2 linked regions of the Macaca fascicularis genome follow. The protein of the gene in region 1 interacts with the protein of each later gene in a biochemical or structural test. Links are inferred from orthologs where the notes say so. Each region holds a gene or a part of one and is shown in the gene's direction. Other genes may lie near its edges.

Evidence for each region.
Region 2: of the proteins of RNF20 (region 1) and histone H2B type 1-B, one has a biochemical effect on the other in vitro, tested with the Homo sapiens proteins (2 studies listed by BioGRID, with this or other methods). The link is inferred for Macaca fascicularis from reciprocal best matches to the Homo sapiens genes RNF20 and H2BC3.

The regions. Positions count from the first base shown.
Region 1 is NC_088389.1:56,540,813-56,544,457, reverse strand, and holds part of RNF20 (E3 ubiquitin-protein ligase BRE1A), read left to right. Parts: intron 1-543; coding exon 544-756; intron 757-3,645. UniProt on the Homo sapiens protein: Component of the RNF20/40 E3 ubiquitin-protein ligase complex that mediates monoubiquitination of 'Lys-120' of histone H2B (H2BK120ub1).
Region 2 is NC_088378.1:146,884,652-146,888,917, forward strand, and holds the start of histone H2B type 1-B, read left to right. Parts: upstream 1-1,455; 5' UTR 1,456-1,508; coding exon 1,509-1,885; intron 1,886-4,266. UniProt on the Homo sapiens protein: Core component of nucleosome. Nucleosomes wrap and compact DNA into chromatin, limiting DNA accessibility to the cellular machineries which require DNA as a template.

The DNA.
Region 1 (3,645 bases):
AGATCTCGGCTCACTGCAAGCTCCGCCTACCGGGTTTACGCCATTCTCCTACCTCAGCCTCCCGAGTAGCTGGGACTACAGGCGCCCGCCACCTCGCCCGGCTAGTTTTTTTTTTTTGTATTTTTTAGTAGAGACGGGGTTTCACTGTGTTAGCCAGGATGGTCTCGATCTCCTGACCTCGTGATCCGCCCGTCTCGGCCTCCCAAAGTGCTGGGATTACAGGCTTGAGCCACCGCGCCCGGCCGGAAATACTCTTAACCAATTACTGCTTGATCTGTTTGTCTAGATTAAGGTAAATACAATTATTGTCTGCTTTAACTGACTTTGAATACAGGTCAACTAATAAGTATCAGACCAACAATTGGTGCCAGTGACTTCAGATAATAGAGCTTTTGTATGCCTAATGACAAAACACAGCTTCTTAAAACTCTGTCACTAAATTAATTTATATGTAAGTGAACGGTGGGAAAGTTTAGTTTCCGGTGCTCATCCATTGAAGTTGGAAGATTCTTCTAAAATGAAATCTCTTCCTCCATCCTTTAGGAAGAAGAAGCACTCCTCTCTGAGATGGATGTCACAGGCCAGGCCTTTGAAGACATGCAGGAGCAAAATATCCGTTTGATGCAGCAATTGCGGGAGAAGGATGATGCAAATTTCAAGCTCATGTCAGAGCGTATCAAGTCCAATCAGATCCATAAATTGCTTAAAGAAGAGAAGGAGGAGCTGGCAGACCAGGTTTTGACTCTGAAGACTCAGGTAATTAAGATGAGTAGAGCTTTCTATTCTATTGAAATAGGGCGCTTGCTACATGACGATACAAATTAAAGAATGATTATTGTGGCATTTTTTTGTGATGGAAAAAAATTTGAAAACTAAATGTTCATCATTAGGGTATTGGTGAGTAAATTATACATCTCTACTGTTATTCCTACAAAAGAGTACAGTGTAGCTGTCAAATATGGATCTGCTAATATGGAAACATGTCTGAAATAAAATCAACTGACTTATTTTGTTACCCTTTTTGCATTAAAGTGTATGTTTACTTGTGTGCCTGTGCTGTGTATTTTAAAAATTTCTGGAAGGCTGCATGAGTAACTGTTAGAATCATTACCTCTGGATATTGGGATGAGTTGTGGGTGAGGTTAGGAGGTATGTGTGATTTTACTTTTTTTTTTTTTTTTTAAATTTCCATAGTTTTGGGGAACAGGTGGTGTTTGGTTACATGAGTAAGTTCTTTAGTGGTGATACCAAGATTTTGGTGCACCCACAACCCAAGCAGTGTACATTGTACCCAATGTGTAGTCTTTTGTCCCTTGCCTCCCTCTGCCAAGTCCCCACAGTTTATTGTATAATTCTCATGCCTTTGCATCCTCATAGCTTAGCTCCTACTTACGAGTAAGGACATACAATGTTTGGTTTTCCATTCCTGAGTTACTTCACTTAGAATATTGGTCTCCAATTCCATCCATATTGCTGCAAATGGCATTATTTTGTTCCTTCTTATGACTGAGTAGTATTCCATGGTGTGACTTTTCCTCTAGGTAGATACCTGGAAGTGGGATTGCTGAATCAAGTGGTAGATCTACTTTTAGTTCATTAAGGCATCTCCATGCTGTTTTCCATAGTAGTTGTACTAGTTTACATTCCCACCAATAGTGTAAAAGTGTTCCCTTTTCATCATATCCATGCCAACACCTATTATTTTTTGATTATGGCCATTCCTGCAAAGTGAGGTGGTATTGCACTGTGGTTTTGATGTACAGTTCCCTGATAGTTAATGATGTTGAGCATTTTTCTTATGTTTGTTGGCCATTTGTATATTTTCTTTTGAGAATTGTATATTCATATCCTTAGCCACTTTTTGGTGGGATTGTTTGTTTTGTTCTTGCTGATTTGTTTGAGTTCCTTGTAGATACTGGATGTTAGTCCTTTGTTGGATGTATAGATTTTTTTCTGCCACTCTATGGGTTGTCTGTTTACTCTGCTGATTATTTCTTTTGCTGTGCAGAAGCTTTTTCGTTTAATTAAGTTTCATCTATTTATTGTTTCTTTTGTTGCATTTGCTTTTGGGTTCTTGGTCATGAAGTCTTTGCCTGAGCCAGTGTCTAGAAAGGTTTTTCCAATGTTGCCTTCTAGAATTTTTATGGTTTCAGGTCTTAGATTTAAGTCTTTGACCCATCTTGAGTTGATTTTTGTATAAGGTGAGAGATGAGGATCCAGTTCCATTCTTCTATATGTGGCTTGCCAATTATCACACCACCATTTGTTGAATAGGGTGTCCCTTCCCACTTTATGTTTTTGTTTGGTTTGTCAAAAATCAGTTGCCTGTATGTATTTGGCTTTATTTCTGGGTTCTCTATTCTGTTTCATTGGTTTATATGCCTATTTTTATACTAGTACCATGCTGTTTTTGTGACTGTGGGTTTTTTTGTTTTGTTTTGTTTTTTGTTTTTTTGAGACAGTCTTGCCCTGTTGCCCAGACTGGAGTGCAGTGGCGCGATTTTGGCTCCCTGCAAGCTCTGCCTCCCGGGTTCACAACATTCTCCTGCCCCAGCCTCCCGAGTAGCTGGGACTGCAGGCACCCGCCACCATGCCCGGCTAATTTTTTGTATTTTTAGCAGAGATGGGGTTTTGCTGTGTTAGCCAGGATGGTCTCAATCTCCTGACCTCGTGATCTGCTCGCCTCGGCCTCCCAATGTGCTGGGATTACAGGTGTGAGCCACTGCGCCTGGCTGTGACTATTTCTTTATAGTATAGTTTGAAGTCAGGTAATGTGATGCCTCCAGATTTGTTCATTTTACTTAGTCTTGCTTTGGCTATACGTGCTCTTTTTTGGTTCCATATGCATTTTAGGATTGTTTTTTCTAGTTCCTTGAAGAACGATGTTGGTATTTTGATGGGAATTGCATTTAATTTGTAGATTGGTTTTGGCAGTATGGTAATTTTCACAATATTGATTCTATTATCCATGAGCATGGGATGTATTTCCATTTGTTTGTGTCATCTGTGATTTCTTTCAGCAGTGTTTTGTAATTTTTCTTGTCGAGGTCTTTTACGTTCTTGGTTAAGTATATTCCTAAATATTTTATTTTATTTTTTTTGCAGCTATTGTCAAAGCGGTTGAGTTCTTGATATGATTCTCAGTTTGGCTGCTGTTGGTGTTTAGCAGAGCTCTGATTTGTGCACATTAATTTTGTATGCTGAAGCTTCGCTGAATGCATTTACCAGTTCTCGCAGCTTTTTGGATGAGTCTTTAGGGTTCTCTAGGTATATGATAATGTGATCAGCAAACAGTGACAGTTTGACTTCCTCATTACCAATTTGGATGCCTTTTATTTCTTTCTCTTGTCTGATTGCTGTGGCTAGGACTTCCAGTACCATGTTGAATGGAAGTGGTGAGAGTGGCATCTGTGTCTTGTTCCGGTTCTCAGGGGGAATGCTTTCAACTTTCCCTTGTTCAGTATAATGTTGGCTGTGGGACTGTCATAGATGGCTTTTATTACCTTAAGATATGTCCCTTCTATGCTGATTTTGCTGAGGGTTTTAATCATAAAAGGATGCTGGATTTTGTCAAATGCTTTTTCTGCATCTATTGAGATGATCATGTGATTTTTGTTTTTAATTCTGTTTATATGGTGTATCACA
Region 2 (4,266 bases), on another chromosome or scaffold:
AAAATTCTAGTTCATCCAGTCCCAAAGAACAAGGTACATAACAAAGCATCTACGGATTTTTTTAATGTAAATTCCGATTCAGTAAGTTTGCGTGGGACTTGAAATTCTGCATTCCTGACAGTCTTGAAAGTTATCAGTGCTGGTGAACACTCACTAAACCACCAGAAACGTTGACTGCCTCATGTCGGAAACTACTTACATTCAGAGAATGAGAATTCCATGCTATTTTGTTACTGGTCAACAGCCAGTTTCCTTATCCTTCGTTTTCTAAGTCCAAGTCACATTCCCACCCTGACTGTTCTCAAACTGTCTTATTTTGGTTGGCTTTAGTTTCACTTTGTATACTCTAAAATGTAGTTTCTTAAAGAAGATATTTCCTCGAAACTTAATTTTTAAACACCATTAGGCTAGGGGGGCCGTGGCTCACGCCTGTAATCCCAGCATTTTGGGAGGGCAAGATGGGAGGATCACTTGAGGCCAGGAGTTCAAGACAACCCTAGCTAAAATGGTGAAAACCCCGTCTCGAATAAAAATACAAAAATTGGCTAGGCGTGGTAGCAGACGCCTGTAATCCCAGGTACAAAGGAGGCTGAGGCATGAGAACCTGGTGAAGCCGCGGGGTGGAGGTTGCAGTGAGCCGATATCGCGCGGCGGCATTCCAGCTTGGGTGACAGAGCGAAACTCTGTCTCAAACCAATCCAAACCAAAACCAAAAGGTACCCGAAACACAAGCAAGTTACCATCCTTTCTTGTGAAACAATGGACGGTTCTGAAAAATGCCGTAGCAAGTTTAAGGTACGTTTTCTGGCTTGAGTGGGCTTTACTTGCTTTTGGCCTTATCGTGGTTCTCGGTTATTTTTGCAACAGGACGGCCTGAATATTGGCCAGGACGCCTCCCTGAGTAATAGTGACTTTGCCCAGCAGCTTGTTGAGCTGCTCGTCGTTGCGGAAGGCCAGCTGCAAGTGGCGGGGGATGCTATGGGTCTTGTCACGTATGGCGCTGCGTGTCAGCTCCAGGATATCGGCGGCCAGGTATTCTAAGTACAGCGGCGCGCCGGCTTCGACAGGCTCAGAATAATTGCCCTTTCGAAAAAGACGATGGACCCTGCGCTACTAGAAACTGCAAGGCTGGTACCGATGAACAACTTTGTGCTTTACTTCCGTTTTCCATGTCCAAACACAGCGACCTCTGAAAACTGTAAAAAACAAGCAAGATGGAATGGCGCCTGAAGAAATACTTTTATACAAACTGCAAGGCTGCAATAGAGAGTTATCCTATTGGTCAATTATGTTTCCTGCTTTATCCAATAGAAAAAGAGTCCATAAATTCCATATTTGCATAAACCCCACCCCTCAGTGAAACTGTATTTCTTTTATCCAATCAGAAGTGAGGAATCTTAAACCGTCATTTGAATCTCAGGACTATAAATACGTGGGCTCTGAACTGTTCTCTCTACTACTCTGCTGGAGAGTGTTAGTAGCTTTTTTGTTTTGTTTTAGGAATAGCGATGCCTGAACCCTCTAAGTCTGCTCCTGCCCCTAAAAAGGGCTCTAAGAAGGCCATCACTAAGGCGCAGAAGAAGGATGGTAAGAAGCGTAAGCGCAGCCGAAAGGAGAGCTATTCCATCTATGTGTACAAGGTTCTGAAGCAGGTCCACCCCGACACCGGCATCTCCTCCAAGGCCATGGGGATCATGAACTCCTTTGTCAATGACATCTTCGAGCGCATCGCGGGCGAAGCTTCCCGCCTGGCGCACTACAACAAGCGCTCGACCATCACCTCCAGGGAGATCCAGACGGCTGTGCGCCTGCTGCTGCCCGGGGAACTGGCTAAGCATGCTGTGTCCGAGGGCACCAAGGCTGTTACCAAGTACACTAGCTCCAAGTAAGTGCTTATGTAAGCACCTCCAAACCCAAAGGCTCTTTTCAGAGCCACCTACTTTGTCGCAAAGAGAGCTATAACCACAATTTCTTAAGGTGGTGCTGCCTCTGTTCTGCTTCAGTTCTAGAGGATCAACTAGAATGTTAGCGAAGGCAACTTTTAGAGCCAAGGTTAACTTGGGGCAGCGCGCCGTGGCTGTCGCCTTTAATCCCAGCATTTTGGGAGGCCGAGGCGGGCGGATCACTTGACGTCAGGAGTTCGAGACTAGCCCGGCCAACATGGTCTCTATTAAAAATACAAACGTTAGGAGGGTGCTGGCGCTCTTTCTCATCTGCCTTTAGCAAACTTCTTTGTTCCCCCTGGGTAAGCCTTCGGGTACTAGTTGTAATTCATTTGATATGGTCACTACTCCCTCCCTGGTCTAGCACAGGAAACTTTCCTTTCTGGATAATGAAACAAGTAATGCAATTCAGGGTACAGTGTTTCTATGGGGGTCATTAGCCGTTAACCGCTTGAGATGAGGGGGAGGGGAGCAGAAAAGTCTAAGCGACAAAAGGGCGTGTAGGGATATTTGCTCCTGCAGTTTGCCTATGCTGTAAATTCTTACCTCCAGTAAGAAGGAAAGATTTCCTCCAGTATTGAGGAAACAGTAAGCGAAGTCTGATTTCCCGGGCGCCTTTGTAGGGAATATTTCCCGTTCCACAAAATGAAATCGCAGTAGTTTTGCGTTATAATTGTTTATCAATGACAACAGCTATGTAGTTTACATATTTCATGCATCCCAGAAATCCAGATTCCCATTTCCTAGGCCACTTAAAATTCGGATTTCCAGCTCTGCGAGATACAAAAGGGTTTGAATTTTGTGCCTTTCCCCAACTGGCCCTACTGCAAAGATACTAGGAAGGCCCCACTTGGAGAGGGAAGCATTTTTCAAGAAATCCGGGACGCCAAAAACAATATAGCTAGAAAAAGGCAGGAAGGGTACTAGTTGAGGAGGACTTAATGGGCCAATTCTTGGTCTGGGGCTGGGGGAAGAAATGGAAGAAGAAAAGAACCTGTTGATTGCACACTAAGTAGGAGGGGATGGGGGAATCGGAGGGGAGTATTTTAAGTGAACTTACGGGCATTATATGTAGGTGACATTCAGCAGTGTCTTCGGATGAAGAAATAAAGTTTCTCAAACAGTTATTGTTTCTGTTTTGAGAAATGGTCTTGCTCTGTTGGCCAGGTGCCATCATAGCTCACTGCAGCCTCGACTTCTCCAGCTCAAGCTATCCTCTAACTTCAGCCCCTTGAGTACCTGGGACTACAGAAATGCGCCACCACACCCAGTTAATTTTTTAATTTTTTGTGGAGGCAAAGGGTCTTACTATCTTGCCCAGGCTGGTCAAGTGAACTCCTGGGCTCAAGTGATCCTCCCGCCTTGGCCTCCCAAAGTGCTGAGATCGTAGGAATGAGTCACCGCGCCCGGCCCAGATTTAATTTTTAAGAATATTTTAAAAGAGGTTCTGGGCCGGGTGTGGTGCAGCTCACGCCTGTAATACCAGCACTTTGGGAGGCCAAGGTGGGAGGATCACTTGAGCCTAGGAGCTCAAGACCAGTCTGGGCAACTTAGTGAGTCTGTCTCCACCAAAAATTTAAAAATTAACCAGGCCTGGTGGCACATTTCTGTAGTCCCAACTACTGGGGAGGTTGAAGTGGGAGGATCATTTGAGCCTGGAAGGTGGAGGTTGCAGTAAGCTGTGATGACACCACTGCACTCCAGCCTGGGTGAGGACAGACCCTGTCTCAAAAATAAAAAAAAAATCTGGATGCCACACAAAATGTCAGTGAACAACTGTAAGTGAAGCACTTCCCATCCTAGTACTGTATATGCAAACTACCGTTGTGAAAGAGACGCTTGTGTTTTAAAAAATCTATAATTTTTTTTAAAATTATAAAACGACCACCTCCCCCAAAACATTACTAAGCAATTGAGGCTGCAGTTTAAGAAACTGATATTTAGGATCTTTCCCCGGAGAAGTGAGACCTGCTAATATAAGCATTTGCAAAATGAACTTTTGGGCCAGGTGCATCATGCCTGTAATCTCAGCACTTTGGGAGACTTAGTCAGGCAGACCACTTGAGCTCACAATTCGAGACCAGCCTGGGCAACATGGCGAAATCCAGTCTCTACAAAAAATTAGCTGGGCGTTGTGGCATATGCCTATAGTTCCAGTTACTAGAGAGGCTGAGGTGGGAGGATTACTTGAGCCTGGGAGGTAGAGGTTGCAGCAAGCCAAGATCGCGCCGTGACAACCTGAGTGACAGAATGAGACACACCCCCCCAAAAAAACAGCCTGACTCATTAAAAAAAAAATTTAAAAATATTAAGTTTTGAAGCA